Linked DNA regions of Canis lupus familiaris. The protein of the gene in region 1 interacts with the protein of each later gene in a biochemical or structural test. Links are inferred from orthologs where the notes say so. Each region holds a gene or a part of one and is shown in the gene's direction. Other genes may lie near its edges.

Evidence for each region.
Region 2: the proteins of GADD45A (region 1) and AURKA form a complex in vitro, tested with the Homo sapiens proteins (2 studies listed by BioGRID). The link is inferred for Canis lupus familiaris from reciprocal best matches to the Homo sapiens genes GADD45A and AURKA.
Region 3: the proteins of GADD45A (region 1) and EEF1A1 form a complex in vitro, tested with the Homo sapiens proteins (2 studies listed by BioGRID). The link is inferred for Canis lupus familiaris from reciprocal best matches to the Homo sapiens genes GADD45A and EEF1A1.
Region 4: the proteins of GADD45A (region 1) and CDK1 form a complex in vitro, tested with the Homo sapiens proteins (5 studies listed by BioGRID). The link is inferred for Canis lupus familiaris from reciprocal best matches to the Homo sapiens genes GADD45A and CDK1.
Region 5: the proteins of GADD45A (region 1) and PCNA form a complex in vitro, tested with the Homo sapiens proteins (4 studies listed by BioGRID, with this or other methods). The link is inferred for Canis lupus familiaris from reciprocal best matches to the Homo sapiens genes GADD45A and PCNA.

What each region holds. Positions count from the first base shown.
Region 1 is NC_049227.1:77,928,444-77,934,790, reverse strand, and holds GADD45A (growth arrest and DNA damage-inducible protein GADD45 alpha), read left to right. Parts: upstream 1-2,803; 5' UTR 2,804-2,953; coding exon 2,954-2,997; intron 2,998-3,216; coding exon 3,217-3,318; intron 3,319-3,852; coding exon 3,853-4,087; intron 4,088-5,543; coding exon 5,544-5,657; 3' UTR 5,658-6,227; downstream 6,228-6,347. UniProt on the Homo sapiens protein: In T-cells, functions as a regulator of p38 MAPKs by inhibiting p88 phosphorylation and activity.
Region 2 is NC_049245.1:42,345,599-42,352,191, reverse strand, and holds the start of AURKA (aurora kinase A), read left to right. Parts: upstream 1-2,787; 5' UTR 2,788-2,834; coding exon 2,835-2,859; intron 2,860-3,846; coding exon 3,847-3,893; intron 3,894-6,460; coding exon 6,461-6,593. UniProt on the Homo sapiens protein: Mitotic serine/threonine kinase that contributes to the regulation of cell cycle progression.
Region 3 is NC_049233.1:35,818,852-35,825,251, reverse strand, and holds the start of EEF1A1 (elongation factor 1-alpha 1), read left to right. Parts: upstream 1-1,972; intron 1,973-2,087; coding exon of another isoform or gene 2,088-2,196; intron 2,197-2,259; coding exon of another isoform or gene 2,260-2,360; intron 2,361-2,906; 5' UTR 2,907-2,940; coding exon 2,941-3,084; intron 3,085-3,347; coding exon 3,348-3,527; intron 3,528-3,641; coding exon 3,642-3,938; intron 3,939-4,039; coding exon 4,040-4,190; intron 4,191-4,276; coding exon 4,277-4,533; intron 4,534-4,611; coding exon 4,612-4,846; intron 4,847-4,956; coding exon 4,957-5,081; 3' UTR 5,082-6,400. Other genes in the region: uncharacterized protein LOC119874198, read right to left, coding at 1,070-1,315, 1,642-1,972, 2,088-2,196, 2,260-2,360. UniProt on the Homo sapiens protein: Translation elongation factor that catalyzes the GTP-dependent binding of aminoacyl-tRNA (aa-tRNA) to the A-site of ribosomes during the elongation phase of protein synthesis.
Region 4 is NC_049225.1:13,553,251-13,559,728, forward strand, and holds the start of CDK1 (cyclin-dependent kinase 1), read left to right. Parts: upstream 1-2,645; 5' UTR 2,646-2,730; exon of another isoform or gene 2,731-2,855; intron 2,856-3,232; exon of another isoform or gene 3,233-3,875; intron 3,876-4,529; 5' UTR 4,530-4,555; coding exon 4,556-4,592; intron 4,593-6,478. UniProt on the Homo sapiens protein: Plays a key role in the control of the eukaryotic cell cycle by modulating the centrosome cycle as well as mitotic onset; promotes G2-M transition via association with multiple interphase cyclins.
Region 5 is NC_049245.1:16,934,539-16,939,258, forward strand, and holds the end of PCNA (proliferating cell nuclear antigen), read left to right. Parts: intron 1-1,180; coding exon 1,181-1,304; intron 1,305-1,387; coding exon 1,388-1,467; 3' UTR 1,468-2,539; downstream 2,540-4,720. UniProt on the Homo sapiens protein: Auxiliary protein of DNA polymerase delta and epsilon, is involved in the control of eukaryotic DNA replication by increasing the polymerase's processibility during elongation of the leading strand.

The sequences.
Region 1 (6,347 bases):
AGAGTTATTTTTTAAAAAACATATGCACACAGGTTCTATACTGACTGCAGGACATTCCTCTGATCTCTCAATGGATAGCAACACCCCCCCCCCCCCAGGGGCTAATAAGTGCTTATGAAATAAATCCTCATCTGTGATCATTCTGATATATAGCTGTAACCTAACTGTAGGGAAATGGGGGCTCCTACTTTCAGCCAAGAGGACCACGGCTGGAAGACAATCCCTGATGAAACATTCTAGGCAGACTCAGCAATGAGGTGAAATGATGTAACATATCTGAGTCAGAAAGCATGACAAATGAGTATTTTTGAATACTGGGAGGCTAGGCTTAGCTCACAGAGAACCCATAACACTTGAAGAAGTCCCTTTCCCATGAGGCCAAATGTAGACCGCAGTATAGTTTCTGAGTGAGGGACTAAGCCCATGTTAAGAAATAACCACGTTATACCACATTTTCACTGTATACAGTTGACCTGGGTGGGGCATTATCAGGGCCGTGGCTCATTTGAATTGGCCTAAACAATACATGGGTTCTGTCCTACAGCTTCCGTTCAGATGACTAAAGTCATGGGACTTTCAGCACAGCTAGCTGATGACAGTGCACACTATTTTGTCCCAAAATCCAGTCCAAGCATGGGCATACCAATTAGATGGCAAACACTTTAAAGGCAAAGGACCAGGGATTGTACAGTTCTTGGTATACAGTGTGATACCAAAATTTTTTTTTAATCAGTTACAGGTGCAATATCTTAAAGAAGAGTCATGCACCGCACAGGACTGTTGGATCCTGAGATCTCGTTCAGCTCTCGGATTCTAGTCAACTTAATAAAACGTTGACTGTTTTGTCAAATGCAGAAACTGCATGAGATGCTGAGAACACTAAGTTCAGGAAGTCACAGGGCCTGCTATCAATAAACTCACATAATTCCCTAATTCTTTGTCACTTGCTGTGATCACACTTTCTTCCAAAGAACCTGTAAGAAACACCTAGTGGATAGAACCTTGAAGTTCCATAGAACACATTCAACAGTTTCCGAACGATGACTCAGGCCCTATTTGTAACTCGGGTTTGGTTTGCAGAACTGAAAGTATTTCAGCACCCACCTAGATTTCAGGTTTAAGGAATTCTTTAACAAAGGCATTACAAGTTAGGATTTAGGACACAGGTATGAAATCCACATGCACCCCTGGGTAAATTAGCCCTTGGCCATGGCCATTCCTTCACTCAAACACGGCCCCTTGCTGACGGTGCAGTTAGGGATTAAGTGCAAAATGTCAGCTCAAATAAATGAGCCAGAAAACCAACATATCACTTTTCTTTTCCACTAAATTAAGATCAAGAGAGCTGGAGAATATTTTGTCTAGAATGATACAAACATGCAGGTGCAAAAACTCCTATGCACCTTTGCAAAAAATTACTTCTCTGACCTCTGGCTATCCAGAGACCTTAATAATGCAAAGCACTGTTTCGAATGAGAGCATATGGGAGGCATTTTCACCACTTTTGGTGACTTCAATAGGTTTAAGACTTGTTTCTGCATTTATCGCATACACTCATAAAACAAAGGCGAGAACTTTCAACCTATGAAGTCAAAGTCTATCCACTGAAGTCTGCTTTTCAGAAGTGTGTTAACTTCTGCTTGCTTTCCACCCACAGGTTGCCATTATCTCAAAGGTGAAATTTTAGCGTATGACTAAAAGGTCCTATAGCTGCAGCTTCATGATTCAGCATCTAACATCAATAACTCACAGTGAGATCACAGGCTCTCTGTGGAAGGTAGTGACATACTTGCCTTATGAAAGGAAGCTCAGGGCATATTGAGAGTATTTTGAATTTAGACTTGTGTGGGCGTCAGACGTGTGTGTCTCTTAGCTGGGGCAGGTGCAGAAGGGTCCTCCTTTGGGAAAAGCTCTCGGGAAAGGTGAATTTGGGTCGTAAGTCTAGCAATTGCACATGCGGCCCCCCTCCTGACCACGGTTTCCAGAGTCACCCTGGGCAGGTGGGAAGCCTCTCTGCTTTCCGTGGAAAAGATTCCAGCTTGGTTCCGTGCCATTACCAAACACAAATGTGTTGATTTTTCTTTTTTGAGCTTCCAACCCTTGCAACCTTCCAAAAATAAATCAAACCAGCCATCAGGGCACCGAAATAATACTACTACTAATAAGCAGCTTTGCCTAGACTTACATAAACAACACTTCTGAAGTCAACTTTGCCCCAGAGGTCTGAAACACTCTTTTTATGTAACCTGCTTACTAATAATTACTAGACTTGGGTGCATTAGCCCTGGAAATAGACTTTAATAGCAACTGCTAAAAACAAAAGACATGAAACGACAATAAAATAAAAATGTGCACCAACCAGAAAAACAGTTGGCAGCCTGCTCGGGGCTCAAGTGGAAGGCACCCCTCTGCCCCGCCGCTGCAGAGACCCCCCACCCTCCTCGGAGCCTCCCACCGGATCAGAGTCGGCTCCGGACCCGCCCCGCCCTCCCCCTCCCCGCCCCGCCCTCCCCCTCCCCGCCCCGCCCTCCCCCTCCCCGCCCCGCCCCCTAGGCCGCTCGCCCCGCCCCCTAGGCCGCCCGCCCCGCCCCCTAGGCCGCCCGCCTTCCGCGTGGCTCCGCCCCCTTCCGCTCCTCTCCCCGCGGGTCCTGGAGCCGGGGTCACATGGTCGGAGCAGGCTGATTTGCATAACCCAATGGCTGTGCGCATGCAAATGAGGCGGGTGGTGATTGGCTGCGGTCGGCCCCATAAGGGCGGCGAGGGGGCCTTTGTCCCAGTGGCTGCGGCGGCGGCGGCGGCGGCGGCGGCGGCGGGCGCAGGGGCGGGGCGGAGCGGGGCCGCGGACGGGCGGACGGACGGGCCGACGGACGCGGTGCAGACGCCAGGCGCCGCGCGCCCGCAGAGGCCCGAGCAGCCCGCACGCCGCGCCCTGGGGCGGACCCGCGGCTGCAATATGACTTTGGAGGAATTCTCGGCCGCGGAGCAGAAGAGCGAAAGGTAGGGCGGCGGCCTCCCGAGCGCCCCCCGCCCGCCCCGGGCACCGCCCCCGAGGCGCCGGCGGACTGACGGACGGACGGACGGACTGACGGACGGGCGGGCGGGCGGACGCGCCCCTCCCCGCGGGCCCTGGCGGCGGCCTCGGGGAGGGCGATGGGGTCGGAGGGCGGCTGGCGGGCCGGGCCTGGGCTGACGCGCCCCGCGCTGGCTCCCGGGCAGGATGGACAAGGTGGGGGACGCCCTGGAGGAGGTGCTCAGCAAAGCCCTGAGTCAGCGCACCATCACCGTCGGCGTGTACGAGGCGGCCAAGCTGCTCAACGTGTGAGTGGGGCCCCGCCCCCCAGGCGACCCCGCGGAGCCCCCCACATGCCCCCGGGGAGCCCCCCCACCTGCCCCCGGGGAGTGAGTCTTACACCTGCCCCCCGGAGACCCCCCCCAGGCGACCCCGCGGAGCCCCCCACATGCCCCCTGGAGAGCCCCTCCAGGCGACCCCGGGGAGCCCCCCACCTGCCCCCGGGGAGTGAGTCTTACACCTGCCCCGGAGACCCCCCCCCCCCAGGCGACCCCGCGGAGCCCCCCACATGCCCCCGGGGAGTGAGTCTTACACCTGCCCCGGAGACCCCCCCCGAGGCGACCCCGCGGAGCCCCCCCACCTGCCCCCTGGAGAGCCCCTCCAGGCGACCCCGGGGGAGCCCTTCACCTGCCCCCGGGGAGCCCCCCCCACCTGCCCGCGGGGAGTGAGTCCTCCACCTGCCCCCGCGGAGCCCCCCACCTGGCCCGGGGGCGGGGGGCGGCGGGCGGGCGCGACCCTGGGACCCCGGGGCCTGCGCGCTCAGCCGCCCCCGCCGCCCGCAGCGACCCGGACAACGTGGTGCTGTGCCTGCTGGCGGCCGACGAGGACGACGACAGGGACGTGGCGCTGCAGATCCACTTCACCCTGATCCAGGCCTTCTGCTGCGAGAACGACATCGACATCCTGCGCGTCAGCAACCCGGGCCGCCTGGCCGAGCTGCTGCTCCTCGAGCCCCACGCCGGCCCCGCGAGCGAGGGCGCCGAGCAGCCCCCGGACCTGCACTGCGTCCTGGTGACGGTGAGGGGGGGCATGGGGGTGCGCGGGGTTGCACGGGGTCGGGGGGGTGCACGGGGGAAGGGCCGGACCGTCCTGGTGACGGTGAGGCGGGGGGGGGGGGGCGCGGGGGTGCACGGGGCTGCGGGTGGTGCGCGGTGGTGCACGGGGAAGGGCCGGACCGTCCTGCTGACGGTGAGGCGGGGGGGGGCGCGGGGGTGCACGGGGCTGGGGGTGGTGCACGGGGAAAGGCCTGACCGTCCTGGTGACGGTGAGGCGGGGGGGGGGGGTGCGCGGGGTTGCACGGGGGAAGGGCCGGACCGTCCTGGTGACGGTGAGGCGGGGGGGGGGGGGAGCACGGGGGTGCACGGGGCTGGGGGTGGTGCACGGGGTCGGGGGGTGATGCATGGGGGGTGGTGCACAGGGGTGCGGAGGTGGTGCACGGGGGAAGGGCCGGACCGTCCTGGTGACGGCGGTGGGGGGGGGCGCAGGGGTGCACCGGGTCCTGGTGCCGGTGAGCCCCGGGGTCGGTGGCGGGGCCGAGCTCCCGACCGCAGCCGACAGGTGTGGCCCCATCCCGGCGGGCGGGCGGGCCGGGACGTGTCCGAGCACGCGGGAGCCGCGGGGGAAGGAGCCTCGTGAGTCAGCAGGGCGGCCCCTCCCCACCTCCGCGGCGCTGCCTCCCGTGACCGACTCCCTTAGCAGGCAGATTAGGTTCAGCCAAATAAATTCCTGGCTCCCCCTCATTAAGGAGTCGGCTTCGTCCTCCAGCGCTCCAAGCTAAAAATAGAAGTGGTGTAGGAGACCGACCTTATTAATTCCCTAGAAATACACGAAGAGGACGGAATGGGGATTGTTTTTTATTTGCAATCTTGGATTTTTTTTTAATGGACCCCCCCCCCCCCCATGACTACCTTTGGTGGGAAGATGACTTGTGTTTCCAGAGATAAATAGGACAGTTTTGTCTTTTACATTCTGCTACTTATGGGCTGGTCTAGGTAAGTGGCGGCTTAATCATTTTGCGTGTCCTGAAAACTACCACCCTGTCTTTGGGGAGGATGACAGGTGGCAGTTCCAGCGAACTGTTAGGGGCTCGCCTCTCCCTGGGCTCGGGGCATGGAGATCTTTGTCCGAGCTGTTTCTCGCTCAGGTGGCTTCCAGGGGACAAGCCTCTGAATGCTACTCTGCTACTTTCCTGCAAAAACGCAGTAAACATCCTGCAGTCCCATGTACGCGGTGCGGAGGGCTGCATGCATGCAGGCTTGCAGGGTGTGCTTTAGAGCATTACGTAGTGGTTTCCCCAGAAATCAGCTACCAAGAAAAAAGTTGATCTTTTTATGGTTGTAACTGGTCTCTTGTCACACAGCCAAAGTACAGAATGCTCAAGTTGTCTTTCCCTCGAAATGAGTGTAATTATTAGCAAATGTTGCCTTTTTTTTCTTTTTTAATAGTAAATGTATTTTTCTCAATTTGTTTCCAGAATCCCCATTCCTCACAGTGGAAGGATCCTGCCTTAAGTCAACTTATTTGTTTTTGCCGGGAAAGTCGCTACATGGATCAGTGGGTTCCAGTGATTAACCTCCCTGAGCGGTGATGGCATCTGAATGAAAATAACTGAACCAAATTGCACTGAAGTTTTGAAATACCTTTGTAGTTACTCAAGCAGTTACTCCCCACACTGATGCAAGGATTACAGAAACTGATGTCAAGGGGCTGAGTGAGTTCAACTACAGATTCCGGGGGCCCGGAGCTAGATGACTTTGCAGATGGAAAGAGGTGAAAATGAAGAAGGAAGCTATGTTGAAACAAATACAAGTCAAAAGGAACAAAAATTACAAAGAACCACGCAGGAAGGAAAACAAACTATGTATTAATTTAGGATGGTTGAGTTACATTTAAATAAACCAAATGTGCTTTGTTAAAGTTCAAATGTGCAGCAGTAGCTTGGGTATTTTTGGTTTATATGCCCTCAAGTAAAAGAAAAGCAGAAAGGGTTAATCCTATTTTAAAACCATATTTTATTGTATTTTGATGAGATGTTAAATTCTCAAAAGTTTTATTATAAATTGTACTAAGTTATTTTATGACAGGAGAAGTTATTTATGCTATAAATTTTTTGAAACACAATACCTACAATAAACTGGTATGGAATAATTGCATCGTTTCTTAATGTGTGCTTTTGTTTCTTTTAACTCGGAATGTATTTTAAACAAGTTTTTTTTTTATATGGAAAAATTAAAACCCTTCTGAAATCATCTATCTGTAGTATATGTGTCTCTACATG
Region 2 (6,593 bases), on another chromosome or scaffold:
ATTGGGGCTCGGGGTGCATTGACTGATTGATTGATTGATTGGAGTTCAATTTGCCGAGCTGGGGCGCTTCCTAATGGGATTCTCGTGTTCGGGGAGCCCCTGGGTGAGAAGACCTGGGAGGGCTTTTGCTCCCCTAGAGTCTGCGTGCTCGTGGGGGTGGGGCGCCAGGCGCGGAGCGGGGGCCCGAGAACTCGCAAAACAAACGAACAAACACGCCGACCCGCACGACGATAGTGTGGCTTCCGCGGGGGCTGCTTTGGTTACAACAGCCACGAAGGACCCTCCTTGGTGGATGGATAAACGGAAGCTTCCGCAGAGAGGCTCTCTCTCTTTTGGCCTGTGCTTCTCCAACCGCAGACCTCCGGCCGCCTTTATCGGGCATTTTCCGAGGGTCCTTGTTAAAAATGCGGGACCCCCCCCCCCTCCCCACCTCGTGAACCAGAAGCGCTTGGGCACAGGGGCTCAGGCATCTGTAGTTTTTCAGGTTTTCCAGGTGCTTCTCTTGATGGTTTGTGGGGATCCAGTGATCTAGACCAGCGCACACGAGTCGTCTGGGGAAGTTAAAATGCACAATCCGATTTGTTGGGTCTACGGTCAAGCTCGAAAGTCTCCATTTCTTACTTTCTTTTTTTTTTTTAATATTTTATTTGTTTATTCATGATAGAGAGACACACACAAACACAGAGACACAGGCAGGGGGAGAAGCAGGCTCCATGCAGAGAGCCTGAGGCAGGACTGGATCCGGGACCCCGGGGTCACGCCCTGGGCGGAAGGCAGGCACTGAACCGCTGAGCCACCCAGGCATCTCCGAAAGTCTCCATTTCTTTCTTTCTTTTTTTTTTTTTTTAATTTTAAAAATTTATTTATTTATGATAGTCACAGAGAGAGAGAGAGAGAGGCAGAGACACAGGCAGAGGGAGGAGCAGGCTCCATGCACCGGGAGCCTGATGTGGGATTCGATCCCGGGTCTCCAGGATCGCGCCCTGGGCCAAAGGCAGGCGCCAAACTGCTGCACCACCCAGGGATCCCCGAAAGTCTCCATTTCTAACACGTGTCCTCCAGATGTAGATGGAGCTACTGCCCCTGATTTGTAACGGCTCCATCTGCTCCTTAATCCTCCTTGTTCTCTGAATGAAATACTTGTCAGCAACATACTCATTGCTGCCCTCCTCTGAGTCCGTGCAGACACTAAGCAGTTTTGATGGAGAAAAAGTCTAAATGTGCAGAGCTATACAATCTTAGCACATCTCCTGTTCAGAGTAGTAGGACATGTGGTTTGAGCCGCAGGGATCTTGTGAGGGTCATGGGGTCATGGGACTCCTGAATCTCGCTGTGGACTGGAATCACTAGAAAGGCAGTTTTCCTGGGGCTCTCTCCAGAATCTCTGGATCAGAATCATCTTATTTCATTCTGTTTATTATTATTCATCTCTCTGAGAAGGAAAAGTATATTCAATTGGAACAAGTATCTAGCTTCTGTTGAAGACGATTGAATAAATGTTAGGCCTGTGTGATCTCATTGGTCTGCTGCCTGTGGTTGTTGGGGAAAGTGAAGAAAGCCTTAGAGCGTGTGTGAAATTAATGTTTGCATAACACAAGCTTATAACTCCTTTCTCCTTCCTGTTTCTCCTAACCTGCTGTTGGACATAAGGACTCCTCTCTCTTTAGCTGTGGTTCCATCTTCAAGGTGAAGTTTTTTGCTTATTTGTGAAGTGGATGTGAAAGCGTGGGGATGGGAGGCACTTTCTGATTGGATTCTAGAATTCGGAGAGCACCTGGGTAGGAAAAATACAGAAAGGTTTCTGCTTTCTTGGAGTTTATGTTCTTCTGATTTACTAGACTGTGCCTGACTCACAGTATGGGCTTAGCAAGTGTTAACTATTTTCATTATTAATATGCTTTCTTAACGGATTAACTCATTCCCCCAAACATTGGTGTAAATACTATGTGCCAGACAAGTTCTGGCAGGGGGCAACAGTAAACAAAATGAGTCTAAGCCCTTGCTCTCATGGAGCTTACTTTCCTTGGAGATACTGATTAGGGAGCTGGGAGGCAGAAGTAAGCGAGTACAAGTAACGTCATGTAAGGTGTTAAGTAAGGGCTATGCAGAAAAATAAAAACGAGATGGTTAGAGAGCCATCTGAGGAGAGACCTGAATGTCATGGGGAGCAAGCCACACTTGTATTTGAGAGAAGTGCCAAATGGGTAGAGAGAACAGGAAGTACAAAGGCCCTGAGGCAGTGCACTGCTTTGAGGAAAGAAAGAAGCCCTGTATGGCTGGTGTGCAGAACGCAAGAGGAGATCAGTCCAATAGGTGGTCAGAGACTGTAGGTCTGTCTGTGCAAGTTGAATTTGAATTGGAGTTGAGGGACCAGGAGGGGCTTGGCTTGTGAACTAAGGGCCGGCCTAGCTGACTTGTTAATGGGATCACTGGGTGCAGTGTTGCAAATGGACCATCATGGGGTAAGGGTGGAAGCAGAGTGACCATCGGGAGCCTGTGGCAAAGAAATGAGGGGAGAGAGCATTGATTTAATCAGGTGGTGGTATTAAATGTCTTGAGCAGTGATTTTGAAGGTAGAGCCTACAAAATATGCTGATGGATTAGGTATGGGGTTTGAGGGAGAATCATGTAAAAGATCAGTTAACCCAAGCAACTGGCAAGATGGGTTTGCCAGTAACTGAGATGGGGACATCTGTGAAAACGGGGTTGGGGAGATAGAGTAGGGAGGGAGCAGGAATTTCATTTGAGACATTTTAAACTTGAGATGCCTCTCTGGTTACAGGTGGTGATGTTTCATAGGTGATAGGAGTTCAGGGGAGAAGTCTGGGCTGAAGATGGAAGTTTGGAGGTCCTCAGCTTGTGAGTGCTATTGAGAGCCAGGAGACTGGATGAGTTTAATAGGGAATGAGTATAGCAGTAGAAGTGTTTCTAGGCCTGAGCTCAGGCTGCTCCTGAGAGCAGAGGGGAAGAGAAGCCGGGAGGAGAAAAGAGCTGTCTGGATGTGGGGGATAATGAACAGGAGGTAGGTAATAGTCTGGTAGTCAGGACAGGTTAGGGTAGAAGATGTAAATTCAAGTCATCTTAAAGATGTTTAGAGCCCTGGTTCTGGATGGGGGACCCTAGGAAGGGAATGGATGGAAAGTGGGGTCCAAGGACTCATTCATGGGTTACCCTAGACTCTCAGGTTGGCAAAAGTCAGACTGATGGAGCAAAGGAGGTCACAGCAGGACAGCTGGTAAGGTCAGGGACCACCCTCCAAGCCAGCAGAGGCTGGGAGTAGAAAAAAGAGTGACGCTGTCAAATGCTGCTGGGGACACCAGGGAGCCCAGGGTGCTGATTGGACCTTTGAATTTGCTAACATTAGAGGTCAGTCGTGAGCTGACTCCTCCGTAGGGACAAAATCCTGATGGGGGAGGGCGAAGAGCCAGAGAAATGGTGGATGCAGGGAGTGTAATGACTGTTCTGGAGCTTTGCTGTTGAAGAGTGAGAGGAAAGATGCTGTTCTATCTAGAGTATGTTATGGGGAAGAGAGAAGCTGCTTTTTTTTTTAAAAGGGAGCAGGGCTGGAAGCAGGCTCCTGCACTGTTGGAATTAATCCCCTAGAGAGGGGGTGGTGGAGCAGGTGGTCTCAGGGAGTGAAGTTGGGGGGTGAGGGAGGCCCCACACCTGTCCCTTAGGTTACCCGAGAAAGCAAGGCTCCCTTGCCAGCTTCATTTGGACAAAGAAAAAGTGTGAAATTCTGTGTTGTTGAGGCTTTTTCATCAGGAGCTATAACCCTGATCTAGCATAGTAGCACTTTGAAGCACAGGGATTTGTATAAATTAAAGGTGGCTCTTTTCTTTTCAGGCATTATGGACAAATCTAAAGAAAACTGCATTGCAGGGCCTGTTAAGGTAAGTTGAATAATCTTAAATTTTTTTTTTTTTTTTTTTAAGATTTTATTCATGAGAAACACAGGCAGAGAGGCAGAGACAAAGGTGGAGGGAGAAGCAGGCTCCATGCAGGGAGCCTGGTGTGGGACTTGATCCTGGAACTCCAGGATCATGCCCTGAGCCAAGGGCAGATGCACAACTGCTGAGTCATCTAGGCGTCCCAATCTGTAATCTTGATCACATTTATAAAACCCAGTGGAGATTGGTTTTTATATCTGGACTTCGTTTTACCTTTACTTTGGATTTTAACTTCAGAACTCTACTACATTCCTGGATGTCTGTCACTTTTTCTCTGCATTCAGTGACATTTTGTTGATTGTCACTGTAACTATTATTTTGTTCTGCTTTGTCTTCTAGCTAGCTGTTTAAGTATCTATATTCCTCCATTGTGTGCGGGATAATGTACACAATGGGTGCCTAATACTTGCTTGTGCTTACTTGCTTGCCAGAAGTTAAATTGCTTTGTAATAGTCTGTTCTGGTCATGATTCAGAGGACTGTCAAGCTGCATTTTAGTGAACATTTCTTGGGAACCCACTTTGAGCCAGGTTGTGTCAGATGCAGGGGTTATAATGATAAAAAAGCACATGGTCTTTGACTTCCAAGAGCTTATTAGCTCTTTGGTGGGTTATGTGAGCTGGTATCACACTTTCATAAAATATGTGTATATGAAATGACCTGAGTAATTCTGCAGAGGGATGTTCAGATTGGGATAGGTTGGAATCTAGAAAGGCTTCATCAAGGAAGTACCTCTGGCTCTTAGAATTTAAATGAGTCTTTATATAAAGATCCTTTAATATAAATATTCCCCAGATTTTTTTTTCCTTCTAGGAAAAGAGCATAAACATACAAATCTTGTTTCTTGTTTTGTATGTATGTGTTGTTTTTAGAAGTTTTCCTTTACTTTTTTTTTTTTTTTTTAAGGTTTTATTTATTTATTCATGAGAGACACAGAGAAAAGCAGAGACACAGGCAGAGGGAGAAGCAGGCTCAGGCTCCTTGCAGGGAACCTGATGTGGGACTTGATCCCAGGACCCCAGGACCCCAGGATCATGACCTGAGCCAAAGGCAGATGCTCAGCCACTAAGCCACCCAGGCGTCCCTAAAAGTTTTCCTTTTCTTTTTTTTTTTTTTTGTTTGTTTGTTTGTTTGAGAGAGCATGCATGAGTGGGGTGTGTGTGTGGAGGGGCGGCGGCTGTGGCAGAGGGAGAGGGAGAGAATGTTAAGGAGGTTCTAAACTCGGTGCTGAGCCTGACCTTGGGCTCTATCTCACGACCTCCTGAGATCACGACCCCAGCCAAAACCATGAGTCAGATGTCCAACCTATGGAGCCACCCAGGCTCCCCTATTTTTGACTTTTTCAGGAGCCTCCATACTGCTTCACCTGCACTGGTTTGTATTCCCACCAGTAGTGTGCAAGGGTTCCTTTTCCCCCAAGTCTTCATCAACAACTTGTTCCTTGTGTTTTTGGTGTTAGCCATTCTGATAGGTGTGAGAAGTTTTTCAAGTAAATGGATACCTTAACTTTTTTTTTTTTTTTTTACTGGCTAAAAGTCAATAACCAATTAGAAAAAGGCTAACTTGAGTCATTGTATCTGATTCTCAATTCCTATGATAAAGATCATTTTTAAAAGCTGCTCTGTTTAAAACATTTGTCGCTGCCTGTGGATGTCACTAATTTCAGAAGTAACTGACTTTTACTTGGAAGTTGGATACCTGTCTCTTGTGAAGCACCCATACCTAGTGAGCTTGTGATGAACTCTGAGGCTTCCCTTCCTAGCATTGTTTCCGTGTTTATGAGGAGATTTCCTCCATTGTAGTTGGAGGAAGTCCTCTACCCCATTTTAGTTTGACTGGTTCAAGGTCTTAGAATTAACTTTTTTCTTAAGCTTGTGATCCTCCACTTATTGGCATGTAAATAATGTATTTTGACCTAACTTTTCGAAGATCCTATTTGTTTCTTCTTTGCCATAGTTCTTTTGGCTCAGAACCATTTTGTAAATACTTGGACAATGAAACATTAATAAATAATAGAAGTATTTTGTGGAAATCTGGCAAATGCAAAAATTCAGTCTTTTAAAACATCTTGACTCAGATAACCACTGTTAAATATTTCGACATATTTGTCTTTTTTTCTAAACATGTATGGTACTGCCAAATAAATTTCAATGGAATTGGGATTTTGTTATAAAATTTTGGTATTGTTGCTTTTTGCCAAGTAGTAATTCCCAAATCATTGAGAATTCTTAGAAAGTGTTTAATGTCTCTCTTTTTAGATGGAAGTTTAGTTAATGAATGTTTTTGGGGGCATGGTTTTTTTGAGGTGGGTGGGAGGTATCATTCAGGTATTCCTTTCAGCTGTATACAAACCATATCCTCTGGGAGTGCTGATGAAAATAGCTTTCCCATTCCATGGATTATCATGGAATATGTATTTTGCTATACTAGGAAAACAGACTTTGTGGAATTCTCAAAACACTCAGCTTTTGTTTACGAAGACATGAAATTTATGTTTCCCTCCCAATCTAGACTGCAATTGCACTTGGTGATGGTCCAAAACGTGTTCTGGTGACTCAGCAAGTTCCTTCACAGAATCCATTATCTGCAAATAGTGGCCAGGCCCAGCGGGTCTTGTGTCCTTCAAATTCTTCCCAGCGAGTTC
Region 3 (6,400 bases), on another chromosome or scaffold:
ATGAAGAAATTAAAAAACCTTATTTTTAGAAGCTTATATCTACAAAGAGTGGTAAAACAAGAAGATATAGGAAGGCTCGTTCAGAAGACTTTTTTTTAAACTTTTTTTTATAATGCTTTTTTTTTTAAGATTTTATTTATTTATTCATGAGAGACAGAGAGAGAGGCCGAGACAGGCAGAGGGAGAAGCAGGCTGCATGCAGGGAGCCTGATGTGGGACTCGATTCTGGGTCCCCAGGATCACGCCCTGGGCTGAAGGCAGGGCTAAACCACTGAGCCACCCGGGCTGCCCAGAAGACTTATTTCATTTACAAAGTAAAAAAGGGATTTGGGGTTGTGAGAAGTAACTGAAAACTAGGACTAGAACTATATTCTACAATGAAATAAAAAGTAAGCACCATACAAGTTTGCCTTTAACTGCTTCCCAGTTGTTTTATATATTAGTTTTCCCCTTCCAATTTGATCGTGGGTTCCTCTCCAAAGGAGAATTTATTTTGCACATGCCACAGAACTCGCTTAGCACTGGACACATAGTAGGTTTCAAGCATTTGTTAACAGATTGGCTGGAGGAGTTGCAGTGATGTTCCACACATGGAAGAGACATACTGATATAGTAACTAGCTCATTAAAAATAAAAGTTCCTTCTTGAAAGTATTTCTCAGTCTGCCCTGATTGCCAACCAAAAAGGCCTCATCCGGTTTCGCCCTAAATTTATGCTCAAATGGAGTTAAAATCCATTTAACAGAAAATGAACTAATTTATTTAAATGGGCTAGGCCACCTTTAAGAAGCAGTGATTCGCAGCAAGTGTTGGGGATAGGAAATTGGGTGGATAAGCTTGCTGAAGCCGTAGATCTTAGTTTCTACTTGAGATCATGCGGAAAGACTGAATTTGAAAAATTCTTTTTAGGTTGCTCATGCTAGCAATCAAATGAGTGTACACTGTAGAAAAAATGTACCACGAGAGTAGACACACATAGGGTCTTTCTATAACGTAATGAAACTAGAGTTAAAAGGCAGACTGTGGGATTGAAATCTATTCTGAACTGAAGAACTAGACGTCTGGAGTACCATATGGGGTGAACGTGTGACTCGGGCTTCGGTAAAAGCAGCGGGCTCGGACTGGAACAAGCCAAAAGGCTAGCCCAAGAGCACATTCGTCCGGGTCACGGCCACCGAGTTGAAACCCTTGCGGATTCTCCGGCTGTGAAGGCGGCCCCTCGGGTCCCTCGCTGCCCTGGGAGCCCGGGCCTTGTACTCTCCAGCCCCGAGAGGAAGAGAAGGCAGGGGCGAGGGAGGAGCCAGCCCAGGGCGGACCTGCGACGAGCGGAGGAAGCGGCTCAAAGGGGCAGTCCTGGACCTTGGAGAGGACCAGGTTAAGAACTGGAGGTATACTGCGGAGGGAAGGCGTACTCCAATCGCCACACCATCTTTGCAGTTAAACCAGGAACCGTAGAGGGCAGATTCAGTACTTCCCCGCAGGGCCGCCTCCTCGCCCCCCCGCCCGCCCCTTCAGCTGGAGCTGAGAGTAATTCATACAAAGGAGGACTCGCTTCAGCCTCGGGGAATCCCAGGGACCGTCGTTAAACTCTCACTAACATAGAACGAGCGGAAAGCTCGTCCCCGCCTCCCCACCCACTCACTCTCGCCGTCATCGGGGTCAAGAGGAGCATGCGCGAGGAGATGTGCGCTCTTTAGTGGGCTGAGCGCACATCGCCCACGGTCCCCGAGCAGTAGGGGGAGGGGATGGCGACCGAACCGGTGCCTGATGGAGTTGGCGCGGGGTAAACTGGGAAAGTGGTGTCGTGTGCTGGCTCCGCCCTCTTCCCCGAGGGTGGGGGAGGACCGTATATAAGTGCCGTAGCCGCCTTGAACGTTCTTTTTCGCAACGGGTTTGCCGCCAGAACACAGGTGAGTGCCGGGTGTGGCTCCCGCGGGCCTGGCCTCTTTGAGCTGCCAGCGGCCCTCGCGTGCCTTTTACAACGGCCGCGCCACCGAGCCACTTTACGATGTTCTTGACCCCGAATTTCGGATTGTGAGTGGGTGGGAAGGTTCCAGGCCTTGCGCCTTTTTTTAGGACCCCTTTTGCCTCGTGGTTGGTTTGAGGCCTGGCTTGGGTGTTGTGGCGGCCGCGTGCGAATTCCGCCGCACCTTCTTGCCTGCCCTCGTACAGTGGTTTAAGCCTCCAGACGTTTGACCTACCAAAAGAAGGCCGCTATGGTTTTCTCCGTCGAGATGGTTGAGCGGAGGTTGGTCAGGACTTGAACGGGGTGGGCTTTTCCGCGGTCGTCGCGTTCTTGGGGTGTGGGGCCGCCGCGAGGCGCGGAGGGCGGCGACGAGGCCCGCTCGTCCCGGCGCACATGTCCGACGAGGCGGGGAAGGCCCACGAGCCGTGGGCGCCGCGTCGGACGCGGGAGAGTCCCGTGGAGTGGGCCGGGCGGCTCTGGTGCCGGGCCTCGCGCCGCGATGTACCGTCCTACGCCGGGCGGAGAGGCCGGCCCGCTCGGCACCAGTTGCGTGCGCGGAAAGATGGCCGCTCTCCGGCCCTGCTGCAGGCAGCTCAAAATGGAGGACGCGGCGGCCCGGGAGAGCGGGCGGGTGAGTCACCCACACAAAGGAAAAGGGCCTTTCCCTGTTAGGCCGCTGCTTCCTGTGACCCTACGGTGTACCGAACGCCGTCTTGGCACCTCCATTCCGCCTCAACGCCTTACAAGCAGGCCTTCCCCGGAGGGGGGAGGGGATTTTATGCGGTGGAGTTAACCCCACGCTTGGTGGGTGGAGACGAGAGTTGGGCCAGCTTGGCCCTGGTTGTAATTCTTGGAATTTGGTCTCTGCGAGTTTGGTCGTGGCTTATTTTCAAGCCTCCGGGACAGTAGTTAAAAGGGTTTGTTCCTACCCTAAAATTTAGGTGTCGTGAAAACCACCGCTAAACCTAAACCAAAATGGGAAAGGAGAAGACTCACATCAACATCGTCGTCATTGGACACGTAGATTCGGGCAAGTCTACCACTACTGGCCATCTGATCTACAAATGTGGTGGGATCGACAAAAGAACTATCGAAAAATTTGAGAAGGAGGCTGCTGAGGTTGGTATACTAACTTAATGAGAGATCGTTAAAAAAAAGTCGGCCAGTGTCAACTTCCCCAAAACTAGTTACTAGTCTATCAGAATCTGCTGCTTGTGGTAGATTGTTTGTGCTTGCTGAAGAGTTTTTTATCTATGTAACTTTGGGAGATAGAACTACCTAACTGTAAAGTGGAATCCGCATTTCTGCTTAAGCAGGAGTTAGGGATTTCAAGTTGGAAGTTTGTGTTTAAGTTACCAAGTAACCATTCTTAATCCTTACAGATGGGAAAAGGCTCCTTCAAGTATGCCTGGGTCTTGGATAAACTGAAAGCTGAACGTGAACGTGGTATCACCATTGATATCTCCCTGTGGAAATTCGAGACCAGCAAGTATTACGTGACCATCATTGATGCCCCAGGACACAGAGACTTTATCAAAAACATGATTACAGGCACATCTCAGGTTTGTAGGATTACTTGAAAATAACTGTAGGCTTGGGTTTTGTATGGGAAAAAAGGGGGAGTTCATCTTTTTGAGGAACATTTATTTAACAGGATGTCTTTTTGTCTTTTAAAGGCTGACTGTGCTGTCCTGATTGTTGCTGCTGGTGTTGGTGAATTTGAAGCAGGTATCTCCAAGAATGGGCAGACCCGTGAGCATGCCCTTCTGGCTTACACACTGGGTGTAAAACAACTAATTGTTGGTGTTAACAAAATGGATTCCACTGAACCACCCTACAGCCAGAAGAGATACGAGGAAATCGTTAAAGAAGTCAGCACCTACATTAAGAAAATTGGCTACAACCCCGACACAGTAGCATTTGTGCCAATTTCTGGTTGGAATGGTGACAACATGCTGGAGCCAAGTGCTAACGTAAGTGACTTCAAGGCTTTGAGGAAGTGATAGAAGAGGCATATGTTGACACTAAATGACAACAGTTTGGGGAATGCTAATGGACAATCTTGTTTTTTTAGATGCCTTGGTTCAAGGGATGGAAAGTCACCCGTAAAGATGGGAATGCCAGCGGAACCACACTGCTTGAAGCCCTGGATTGCATTCTGCCACCAACTCGTCCAACTGATAAGCCCTTGCGTCTGCCTCTCCAAGACGTCTACAAAATTGGTGGTAAGTTGAACATTGCCATTTAAAAATACGATTTATGGATTGTTCTTCACAGAAGGTATCTGACACGATGCTTCTAAATATTTTAGGTATTGGTACTGTCCCAGTGGGTCGAGTGGAGACTGGTGTTCTTAAGCCTGGTATGGTGGTCACCTTTGCTCCAGTCAATGTTACAACTGAAGTAAAGTCTGTTGAAATGCACCATGAAGCTTTGAGTGAGGCTCTTCCTGGGGACAATGTGGGCTTCAATGTCAAGAACGTATCTGTCAAAGATGTTCGTCGTGGCAATGTGGCTGGTGACAGCAAAAATGACCCACCAATGGAAGCAGCTGGCTTCACAGCTCAGGTAACACACTTAAGAGTGGCAATGTTCTCTTTGCTAGATCCTGTTTGAAATGTATTAAATGCAATTTTTTCCTCCAAGGTGATTATCCTGAACCATCCAGGCCAAATCAGTGCTGGATATGCACCTGTGCTGGATTGTCACACAGCTCACATTGCCTGCAAGTTTGCTGAGCTGAAGGAAAAGATAGATCGTCGTTCTGGAAAGAAGCTGGAAGATGGTCCCAAGTTCTTGAAATCTGGGGATGCTGCCATTGTTGATATGGTTCCTGGCAAACCTATGTGTGTTGAGAGCTTCTCTGACTATCCTCCTCTGGGTAAGAATGATTTAAGCATAATTAGAAAACTTACTGAAGCACTAGGACGTGCTATTTGTGTATAGTTTCTGATACAGTTTCTGATAGTGATCTAAAATTTGTTTTAATAGGCCGTTTTGCTGTTCGTGACATGAGACAGACGGTTGCTGTGGGTGTCATCAAAGCAGTGGACAAGAAGGCAGCTGGAGCTGGCAAAGTCACCAAGTCTGCCCAGAAAGCTCAGAAGGCTAAATGAATATTATCCCTAATACCTGCCACCCCAGTCTTAATCAGTGGTGGAAGAACGGTCTCAGAACTGTTTGTGTCAATTGGCCATTTAAGTTTAATAGTAAAAGACTGGTTAATGATAACAATGCATCGTAAAACCTTCAGAAGGAAAGGAGAATGTTTTGTGGACCATTTGTTTTTTTTTTTTTTTTGTGCGTGTGTGGCAGTTTTAAGTTATTAGTTTTTAAAATCAGTACTTTTTAATGGAAACAACTTGACCAAAAATCTGTCACAGAATTTTGAGACCCATTAAAACAAAAGTTTAATGAGAAACCTGTGTCTTGTTTTGGTCAACACTGTAGCCTTTATAGTATTCAGGTAAAAGATTGGAGTTGCACAGAACCTTATTTCTAGTGTTTAAACTGAAATTTGGGTTAACTTTTCCTGGATAGGAAACTTGGAAGTTTTTTCATCTTGTTTAAGGGCAAGAAAGTTAAAATACATAGTAAAAACAAAGTAAAAGCAATGCTATAGGAAAAGGGTCTGTTGGCGCAACACACTTTCTCTTAGATAAGCAAAGTAACACCATATGATAGTTTATAGAAACAGGTTAAGTTCTGTAATACCAAAGTCCATGTGTTGCATATAAAATTTGTATTCTATCACTATGAAGTAAACTTGTTAATGGCATGTTTTTGTTTCCTTAGTTACTGGAATGCATTGTCATATAAATGTTGAAGCACCCTAAAATGTGAGGCATTTGATAGCATTTTACTTCATAGTGGGGTTAATTGTATCTAGATAGTAGAAAAACAGCTGGAGTTCAGTCACTTAAGAACTTAACAAATTCAAGGTTGGGTGAAGAGGGCACAAACCCAGTTTGAAGAGGTGCAGTGGGAAATGTAAGGAAGGACTCCTTTGGATTGGAGTGTAGGGTAAGCTTTATAATCTGAAAATGTCTTGGAGGTTTTGCTGTCATTCCAGTAACATCACCTAATGAAGGGAATACTAAAAGATGACAGTTTGAAGTTTATGATAAACAAGATGAAAAACCGCTTTTGAGAAGAGTGGTAACCTACAACAAATTGTGAATTTTAACAGTATTTGGGTGACAACTATCAAATTCTTGGCTTTGGAAAGCTGGCGAATGCTTCTTAATACTGGTATATTTGAGATACTGCTATGTGGATTTTGAGCATTCTTTAAAGACCCTATTTGATCCTAAAACTTATGCTTTATGAAAGGGAAGTCATTTCTTTAAGCTGCTTTGAAGTGTGGCAGAAAGCATACAGGACACTTTGTAATTAATGACAATGCTAAGTGGAATGTCTTACCAACTTCTGTAGA
Region 4 (6,478 bases), on another chromosome or scaffold:
TAGTTGGGCTTCCTTGCTCAGTGGACAGCCTGCTTTTCCCTCTCCTTCTGCTGCTCCCCTGCTTGCATTCTCTCTCTCTGTCAAATAAATAAATAAATAAAATCTTTAAAAAATAAATAAATAAACCAAATTACCTCCCAAATGCCTTATCTCCAAATACAATCACATTGAGGGGTGGGCCTTCAATATAGGAATTTAGGGTGGAGGGAGACATAATTCAGTCCACAGCAATATTTCTTTTTTTTTTTTTTTTTAAAGATTTTATTTATTCATGAGAGACACACACAGAGAAGCAGAAACATAGGCAGAGAGAGAAGCAGGCTCCCTGTGAGAAGCACGATGCAGAACTCTATCCCAGGACCTCAGGACCATGGCCTGAGCCAAAGGCAGATGCTCAACCACTAGCCACCCGGGTATCCTGCAATATTTATATCAAAAAAAAAAAAAAGAAAAAAAAAGCTTATATGCAGTGCCAACTGATCTTTTCCTTTTTTTCTAAATGGAATTCTCTGAAATATAAATATGCTACTTTTTGTAGCACATGCCTTTCCATCCTCTCTTCTTTCATTGTTTTTTCACAACTCCTGGAGAATAGTTCTAAAATAGTTCTGGGGCACTTGGGTGGCTCGGTCAGTTAAGCATGTGCCTTAGACTCAGGTCATGACCCCAGGGTGGAGGATCTCCCCCTATTGCCTGCTTCCTGCTCCACAAGAAGTCTGCCCCTTCTCCCAACTCACGCTTTCTCTATCTTCCTCTCTTTCGGTCTCAGATAAATAAATAAAATCTAAAGAAAAAAAAAATACTTCTCTTGTGCAGCCCCTTAGGACATTATTCAGGGCTCTTCAAGATTCTCATTCCAAACTCTCTTCCCTGCTTCACATCCCAGAGGCCCTGCAGCCTCCAATGGTCGCCTGCCTGTGGACTCCCTGTACCCTACAATTGGAGGCATCCTGAATTATTCAGATAGATTTTCAATGCTTACTGTTTGGAAGCCCCACTCCACAGTTCTTTCTCCAGTGTCTGTTTGAATTTGGTGATTTACCTCTCTCTGTTCTCATGTCACTTTATAGCATAAGTTACAACATAAGTACCATCATAAAATTCTAATCCTGTGTTCTCCCACCCCCAAGCCTAAGCAAGAATTGTATCTGATTAATTTTCTGTCCATAAAGTACTTTAGAGACCCTAAATTCAAGTTGGCCCAAAGAATTAATAAACTGAATTTGCTAAGATGCTAGGATGAATTTACAATAACCCCTTAAAGTTTAAAAACAAAGATAATTGAGTTAAAATGAAAAATCTAGCATCACAGCTATAGAAGCTTGTGATCTTCATGTTGAATGTAAAATGGATATAATGAATTATAAGCTGTTATTAGGTGCTATAAAATGAATGCCTTGTTGAGGCCTCCCAGAGAGAAATATCTACATGCACTCATTAAAATCAGTACCCTGAACTGACAGAGAACAGTCATCTTCCCTAGAGTACTTCTCTGGGGTAGTCAATTTTCATTTAAAATGTGAACTTGGGTGTTGAAAAGTAAGTTTTACAAGTTCTTAGGTTCAGGCAGAGATTTCACAACCACCTACCTCCAATGTGAACCCCAAGTGCTCTGTCACCTAGGAGCACAAAATTGTTAAGACCATGTGTTGGTACCACAAATGGTGCCAGATGACAGATGCTTCTCACTGTGTAAAAAAGGTACTAAACACTTACATGCATGTGATATACTAGCTCATTGTTTATCCTAATCTGGGTCTTTTTTTTTTTTTTTTTTGGTATATGGAACAGTTCAAGAATTTGTGCGTCATCTTTGCGCAGGGACCAACTTAATCTGTTTTGTTCCAATTTTAGCACATTGCTGTCCAAGCCAGCACCTAATCTGGCTCTTCTGACAGGTCTTTGTAGCGTTCATGGTAATCCATCCTTGTTCTACATTCCATTAAGAGCAGCCCTTATTAGGTGACTCTTATTGCCAGTTCTATTTTATTTTTTAAAGACTGAAAGAATGATGTTCAAGTGCAAACATCTCTCTTAAGGTTATTGTGGAGGGCAGTGAGAGAGAGAGAGAGAGAGAGAGAGTTTTTGATACTTAGTTATTTAAAGTATAATTTAGGTCTCCCCCCCCCCCAAAGACTTGTGAATTTTTGTGTTCTAAAAAACTAAAATTCTGTTGTGAAAATATTTAAAAATCTAAAAATGTAAAATTTTGTCTTTCATTTTTAAATACATGGAATTTTAAGTAAATGGAAACTTTAAAATTCTGAAAATAAAGTAAAAACAAAGCATATATGCGTGTGTGAAATGGATTCCTTTGGCCCAGCCGGAAAATCACCCACTTAGAAAAACACCATTTACGGTAGCTTTAAGTATTAGAAGTGAAAGTGATGGAATCTGAATGTCAAGGTAGCATCGCTTTTGTGATGAGAGAGCTGAGTGCAGTACGTTTTAATTGTGCCAATACTGAACAGGGAAGAACCCGACCCAGGGCCAACAGTAGATTTCCGACGACCAGAAGCAGTAGGACGACGCTCCCCAGCGATGAAAGAAAGCGCCTGCGCTGGGACTCAGTTGGCGCCCGCCCTCCTGCTTTTTCGCCAGCCGCCGTTTCCACCCTCTTTCGCGCTTCGGCCTCCCGGGAAGCCCAGCCCCGAGCGTCGCTGAGCTCCGATTGGCTCCTTTGAAAGTCTACGGGCTGCCTGATTGGCGGGCCCCCGGCCCTTTAGCGCGGTGAGTTTGAAACAGCTCGCGCTCCGCTTCAAAGCTGGCTCTGGGAAGTTGAGGCGAGAGCGACGCGGACGTGGAGGCGGCCGCTGCTTTCGCCGCGGGACAGTAAGGCGGGCGGCCTCGCTGAGGTCAGGGTCGTTCCTGCGGGGCGTCTGCGCCGCGGGGCCCGGCTCGGAGGCCGCGGCTGGTGGTGGGAGGCCGCGGGGGGCCGCGCGGGGCCGGGCCGGGCCGGGCCGGGCCTCCGGATCCTAGGCCGCGCCCTCGCTGGGGCCCCGGGGCCCGGCCCTCCGGGGAGGCTGGCGGGAGCCCCGACGCGGCGGGCGCGCTCCCGGGCGGGTGAGGCCGCCGGCCGGCTGAGGAGGCCGTCGGGGCGTGGCGCCGGCCGGACGACGCCGATTGCCGGGCTCCGGCCTGGGCCCCGCGCGCGCCGCCCTGCTCCCTGGCGTGGCCGGCCAGACCCCACCTGGGCCAGGTGCCCGCGTGGGAGCGCCGGCGGGCCCCGCTGGCCTGTGGGCCTCCCCGGGGTTCCCTGCGCCCGCGGCCCTGGCGCGCCCGGAGCTGTGGAGAGACCCGGCCAAGGACAGAACCAGAGGAGGAGGAAGCTCGGGGTGGCCCCTTGACTCTAAGCTGTTGTATGTGCTGTGCCATCGGCCCACAGGGAAGGCTCAGAAACGCCTCGAGAAAGCACATACGCGTGTGCTCAGTATTCCTGATCGGTCTTTGTTTAACACTAGAGCTCCCCATGTGCACGCCTGCTTGCTTGCTTCAAAGACCTGGAGGCCTCTGGGTAGGAGACGAAGCTGTGGTGTCGCGGTGCCGGGCCCCAGGGGCAGGGCCTCCAGAGGCTTTGTGAAGCCGCGTCCTCTCTGTGAGATTGTCACAGCAGCGACACGGAGAGCCGGCGAGGCCTAGGAAACCCAGCTTTGAAAGGCTTGCTCAGAGCGAGCTCGACAGTTGGATTGTTCGTCAGGCGTGTTAAATCTGGGCGTCGTAGAAGGGATGATTACCGTTCTGTAAAATTAAAAATGTCTAAGATGGGAACTCCTAGCCAGTGTAGTGCAACTTCGTTCATTTAAAAAGATTTTCTTGCTTCTACTTCTGGCATGATCCCGGAGACCAGTGCGAGCGTCGACTACCCAGTGACCTATGTACGTAATCTTATCAGGGATGAGTGTGTTAGAAAGTCAAGGTAATTCTACTCTGGGCTTCTGAAGTGAAGATTTCTTTGGCAAACTTCTCAGCTGAGGACGTCTTGAAGGTCTTGTCAGCCTCTCAACTGACGTTTAAGCAGTCTTGCTGATGGTGGTTGATTATTACGGCCACAGTAGCTCTATTTGTGTCATTAAAACTTTTTTCCTTTTGAATTTTCTTAGAAAAGGGGTACAAATTCAGTCAAATAACATTATTTGACTTACTTAACACAAATAACATTTGTGGAAATGGCTGGGTATAACTGGCAGAAATTGATGCTCCTTAGAAGTGTTACATAAAGAAACACACTTGTTTTTTTGTTTGGGAGGGATAGATAAGTTTGATACCTGAATTTGAGGGTTAATCTGATTGCAAGAAGCAAAGTACTACACTGGCTAAGATATACAAATCCAATGTTTTAAGAGCTAAAAAAGGTGGAAAAATCTTATTGCAAAGGTCCCTTCCCTTGTAAATGTTTTAACATAATTAGTATTTATGGGAAATTAATACTGCAGTAGACACTGGAAAATGCTTTATACTATCATTAAAAACTTAAAACCATCTTTTGAGTTAGTGGCATATGATCAAATTAATTTTTTCTCTCATTTTAGGATCCTACCGTATCTGTTGATTAACTATGGAAGATTATACCAAAATAGAGAAAATTGGAGAAGGTGAGTGGTTTTAATAATAAAAGAGTTAAAAAATGATTTGGTAATGCTCTAATATCTGGGACATGAAAACCTGTAAATATTTATTGAAATCCAATCTTTAAGGTGTCCTTCAGTGCTAATGTGCCTTGATTATATGTTCTTTACATGGTAACATATGCACAAAATGTTCAGATTTCAAGAAAATTGAAATTATTCTGATAGGATTCCCTGCCAACCCTCTCCCATCCCCCTAAAAATCTTATATTTTTTAAGTACTAAACACTTAAAGCAATATTTGTATTTTGAAAACACTATTGAGATCTTGTGTTATGTTTTGGTGGGGAGAGGTTAGGGAAGTAGAATTTTTTTTTTTTTTTTTTAAGATTTTTATTTATTTACTTGAGAGAGCACAAGCAGGGGGAGCTTCAGAGGGAGAGGGAAAAACTGGCTCCTTGCTGAATGAACAGGGAGTCCATGCGGGTCTGTATCCCAGAACTCTGGGATCAGGACCTGAGCTGAAGGCAGACGCTTAATCGACTGAGCCACCCAGATACGCCTAGGGCAGTAGAATTCTATTAAGTTTAATAGTGTACTTTTAATCATGTACAATTCTTTTTAAGTGCTTTTACCCAAACTTTCTAAACTAGTATAATAGACTATTAAACCAATTTATTTATTTATTTATTTATTTTTTAATTTTTATTTATTTATGATAGTCACACAGAGAGAGAGAGAGAGAGAGAGAGGCAGAGACATAGGCAGAGGGAGAAGCAGGCTCTATGCACCAGGAGCCCGATGTGGGATTCGATCCCTGGTCTCCAGGATCGCGCCCTGGGCCAAAGGCAGGCGCTAAACCGCTGCGCCACCCAGGGATCCCTATTAAACCAATTTAAATAAATTTTTTAATTTCCCTTGATTTAAATGACATGTCATGTATACCTGCTTAAGCAATTCTAAAACAACTTTTTTTTTTAAAGATTTTATTTATCCATTAGAGAGAGAGAGAGAGAGAAAGCAGGGGGAGGCTCAGAGGAAGAAGCAGGCTCTCCACAGAGCAGGAACTTGATATAGGGCTTGATCCCAGGACTCTGGGATTATGACTTGAGCTGAAGGCAGGCACTTAAACAACTGAGCTACCCAGGTGTCCCTAAAACCAGTAACTCTTGTATATGATCATTCCCCTCTGTAGTACTTTCATTGAAGTTTTTAAAGAATGTTTATATGGCACAAGTGGAAGGGTAAAAATCCCTTTACTTTTTTTTTTCCCCAAAAAGAATATATAAGTTTCTGTATAAGAGTTGGTATTAACGTTCTAAACTCTATAGGAACAAATGGTACACCTTTATGCAAAGCAATTTGCTATTAGAGTAATTTATGTAGGTCTGTTTGAGGGATATTTCCAATCAGTATATTTTTAGTGTGTTTCAAAACCGTATTTGTACAAGGAATACTACTAAAATCTAGGGGCGGAGTACTGGAAAGAATTTAGTAAGATAGTAATGAATAACTTTAGGTAGTGCACGGGTTAGAGATACATTCTTTTTCTTACCAATACTGTATTTTTTTAATCGCTTAAATACTTTCTTAAATCCTCTCAACTAAATTTTGTTTGAGTTGAGAATAAGTTTTGAATAACATATCTAATGTCTTCTACTTTGAGTTTTTCTTAATCCCCAGAGAATCAAATGAGTGGTGATTTTGTTTGTAACAAAAAGTTATTCTTAAAGTGTAAATGTGTTTTCCTTTAAAACTCTGGAACTCCTAACATGCAGGAGGCTACGTATTTGACTTTAGTTGAAATAGAAGCAGTAAAGAATATAATTTCAAATGTTGCCTCATTTCCTTGAGTTAAATGATTCCCATTCTACCATATGATGTCCTCTCAAATTCCCTGTAGAATTTTGGCC
Region 5 (4,720 bases), on another chromosome or scaffold:
GGCAGCCCCGGTGGCGCAGCGGTTTAGCGCCGCCTGCAGCCCGGGGTGTGATCCTGGAGACCCCAGATCGAGTCCCACATCAGGCTTCCTGCATGGAGCCTGCTTCTCACTCTGCCGGTGTCTCTGCCCCTCTCTCTCTCTCTCTCTGAATGAATGAATAAATAAATAAATAAATAAATCTTTTAAAAGAAAAAAGATTTTACTTATTCATGAGAGACACAGAGAGAGCGGTAGAGACATAGGCAGAGGGAGGAGCAGGCTCCATGCAGGGAACCCGATGCAGGACTCGATCCTTGGACTGCAGGATTCACGCCCTGAGCCAAAAGCAGACCCTCAACCTCTGAGCCACCCAGGCATCCCTCAGATTTCTTTTAATTCATTGGTTCTCCATTCAATTCTGCCCCCCTCCCCCATTACAATTGTTGAAGCAAGTCCTTTGTCACTGAGTTTTCCCAAAGTCTGGATTTTACCCATTGTATCCCTATGTCAATTAATATGTTTATCTAACCTGTATTTCCTATAAACTGGTAGCCACAGCTCCGGAGGCTTGATGATATTCAGTGTTTTCTTTGTTTTGGGAATGAGAGCAAGAATACTCTACAGATGGTGGTGTGTGTACCTCTAGTAGGTGTGAGGTGTGTACATATATTTTCTTAGCCATAATAATCATTTAGAATCATTAGGTCATTAGGGTTATAATAATATATTTCATTCATTTATTAGCTGATTTAATTATTAAAAGCATTCCCATAAAGAGCTTTCTCTTATCACGTAATTTGTTTACCTGAGCTATATATAGTTCAAATGGGAAAGACTAAATACCTGAGTCTTTTGCTTTATTTACCATTACTCAAAATTGGCTACTTTGAAGAATGATATGAAACTAATACATGGTTTTTTTGTTTGTTTTTTAAATGTATATTCTAGGGGTGCCTGGGTGGCTCAGTCGGTTAAGCTCCCAACTCCTGGTTTTGGCTCAGATCATGATCTCCCTGCTTGGGCTCTTTACTTAGCTGGGAGTGTGTTTGAATATTAACACCTTCCACTTGCTCACTCTTGCATGCATGCGCTCTCTCTCTCTTGCTCTCTAATCTTTAAAAATAAATGTATATTCCAAACTAATGAGTTGTAACTTTCTTGATGTTTTTCAATATGATTAATCTTTTGTTTTCTCTTTCAGGTTACCATAGAGATGAATGAGCCAGTTCAGCTAACTTTTGCACTGAGATACTTGAACTTCTTTACAAAAGCCACTCCGCTCTCTCCTACAGTAACACTCAGTATGTCTGCAGATGTACCCCTTGGTAAGATAATCAGTTTGTTGAATCTTGTTTTGTAGATTGCATATGTGGTACTTCTCAATAATTATGTTCCTGTCTTCTTTCAGTTGTAGAGTATAAAATTGCTGATATGGGACATTTAAAGTACTACTTGGCTCCCAAGATTGAGGATGAAGAAGGATCTTAGATATTTTTCTTAAAATCCAAGAAAATAAAATTAAGCTCTTTAAGAACTGCTTCTGAGATGCCAACATGTACTTATGTTTCTTCTGTCATCAAATTTGTACCTCTGAGTACATATGTAGATATTTTCTGTAAATAACCTATTTTTTCTTCATTCTTTACAATTTGTTTAAAGAACAAAATCAAATCTGGACTTGTTAACCTAGAAATATTTCTGCCTTACCTAAAAAGTTCTCGTGATTTTCATAACAAAAGGGTTTTGACTCTAAATGCAGTTTAAATAATTTTTTTCAATTTAAATAAAGGTTTTTTGAATTTCAAATATCAGAAGACCGTGCCTTCATTTGGACTGTTGCAAGTATCCTAAGGAATTCAGTTCAAGCTACCATTTCATGTAAATGAAGTATTCCAAATACAGTAGGTGACAAGATATTTTTGGGGATTCACTTGTCAAACTTATTTTGGTATTCTAACTTGAGTTCAAGAAATGAACAGGGGAGTAGACCAAACCCTATATATTTTTTTAGCAAAAACTAACACTTTTTTCAGAAGCTTTTTGTATCCAAAGCTGTGGGCTTTAGAAGACTAGCATTGCTATAGGCCAGTGTTTCTTTAGCCTAGGGAGCCTTTTAAAAGAATCTTGAAAGATTTAGTAGATTTGATAGGGCCCAAGCAATAGGTTTGTGCAAAAATGATTTTTCTAGTATAAATAGCCTTTTTTGGGACTAGTAGTTGTGAAACAGACTGTTGAAGTGTTACTAATTGGGTCACAAACTGGCATAGTACACGTTGAGAATTGCTTCATTAAAGTCCTTTATCCCAGTGTATTTTGTGCTGGTGGTTTAAATGACAGGTTTCTTTGTTGTAATACCTGGACTGAGTTCTAGTTACTGGACCTTCTGTGTGCCTGGGGGTGGGGAAGGACATTGGCTGCCGAGGGGCCTGACGGGTTTTGGGAGTGATGTAACTTATATGACTGGTGATGGTTCCAAGACTGTATGCACTTCTCAAACTCATCCAATTGTGCTTTATTGTATGTAAATTATACTTTAATAAATCTGACATTTACAAAGCTTCATGTGCTGCAAAATGTCCCTTGTGGGCGGGCCTCTTATCTGGGTAAGGATCGACATCCTGATCGAGAAGAGAGGGAAACCAGCACTAGAATGTGGGGCCACGACAGTAGTGGTGGGGTACTGACCAGCAGAGCCCACGCGGCACGGCGAGGAAGGGCGAGGAAGGCCTACAGCCCGGGCAGTGAATAGGCGGCTCGGCATTCCAGTGGTTGCTGCACTGTCGGGGTTTCCGTCTCCCAGGGGTGCCGCTTGAGCTCCCAACACTGCGCCTGGGATCAGAGAAAGAAACGGGGCGGCCGGTCACCTTAGACACCCAGCGGGAGTGGCCGGCAGCAAGCCCGGGCCGCAGCCCCAGCCGCAGCAGCGACTCCCGCGACCTCACAGGGCGAGACTCCACCGGCGCCCCCCTCCCCCGCCCCAGCTCCCGGAGCCTCCGCAGCACGCTCCCCCGAGCGCAGGGCCAAAGCCGGACCTTCCAGAGAGCGGAAGGAGGGGGCGTCGCTCCCGGTGACGCCGCTTCCGGCGCGCTGCCTTTCGGCGCATCGCTTCCGGCGTCGAGCTGGGCGGGTGGGGCGGGGTGACAGTTAGGCGAGGCGTGCCATGAGGCCTCGGGCGCCTCCGCTGCCAACCGTGAGTGAGCCGTCGGCGCGCGGGCGGCCTGGCGCGGCGCTCCGGTAAGGCGTGCGTGCGGCGGGCGGGAGCAGAAGCGCCCCCCTCAGGCGCCGGCGGGGCCGAGACTGCGCTGCCCGTCGAAATCTAGCTCCGCGTCCGGGATGTGGAGCGTTCGCCAGACCGGCCGATGCTGGCCTCTTCCCAGAAGCCGGTTTTGTTTGTTTTCCGCCTAAATTCGTGTCGGTTTTTCTTTGTCTTCCTGGCTGGGTCGGGAGATGGGCAGGAAGGTAGTGTGTGTGTGGAGGCACGTGATGCCAGGCTCTGCGCTGACTGCTTCACTGATGCTTTCAAGGTCTTGCAACATTGGCGTGGGCAGGGAGTTTGCAGGTTGTGGTGCAACCGGTTAAAAAAAAAAAAAAAAAAGCCTTTTGGGAACTTGGGCTGCTACTTTGAAAACCTCGATTTACGTTTTTCCTTTCTCTTGCAGAATTCTTACTCTTTGACACCAGTAAGCTTTCGTCTCCCTTGTTCCTTATTACACCCAGCGCTTTTTTATGTTTTGATGCAGGTGTAGGAATAGGTAATGGCAAAGTACGGAAACTTTTTTTGAAAAGAATACAAATCTGAAGTGATTAAATGCCCTCAAACTCCCACATACCGGTAATTTGGACTTTATAGAGTTAAATTTAGATTATCATGAAACCGAGATCGCAACACTTAAAAATCTAGTATTAGATGCAGTTTGAGCTAACTTTAGAAAAGCATATAAATTAGCATACTCGATTGAGTACTTGATTTCTGCACTGGTGTATAATTGCTAAAAAGGGACATTTGCATTTAGCACCAATTCCATCATAATGCTAGTTATTTGAGGTTGACTACAGGCCACTGGAAACAGCTCATTAATATTATAGATAAAATATATAGAAAGCACTTAGAATAATAGTACCTGGTAGGTACCAACACTGGGTAATTATTAACTGACGTTATTATAATGATGATGGTGTTTCCAAAGTGTCATACCAGAGGAAGGCAAAGTCTTTATAGTTTCTGGTTAGTTTGTTTTTTTAATGTTGCACTTATTGTAAAATACGTAATTTTCTCTTTTTACAGATACACTTCACCTTTATTTTTTTTTAAAGATTTTATTTATTTATTGAGACAGAGAGAGAGAGAGAGAGGCAGAGTGTGTCACACAGGCAGAGGGAGAAGCAGGCTCCATGCAGAGAGCCTGATGTGGGACTCGATCCCAGGTCTCCAGGATCACACCCCGGGCTGCAGGCGGCGCTAAACCGCTGAGCCACCGGGGCTGCCCCTATACTTCACCTTTAGAAATAGCTTCACAATCAAAATAGATTTACTTTTTAATCATGATTTTGTGATTTAATGGAGGAAAAGTGCACAAATTACAAATGTTTTCTGATTTAAATGTCACTGCTTTTTAATCTTCCCTACTATCTCTTAAACTGGTGACAAAATAACTGTGATTTGATTACTGAAGTTGACTTTGACTATTTTGAACAAAAAACAGGTTTTATTCCTTTCTTTTTTTCTTTTAAGGAAACCATA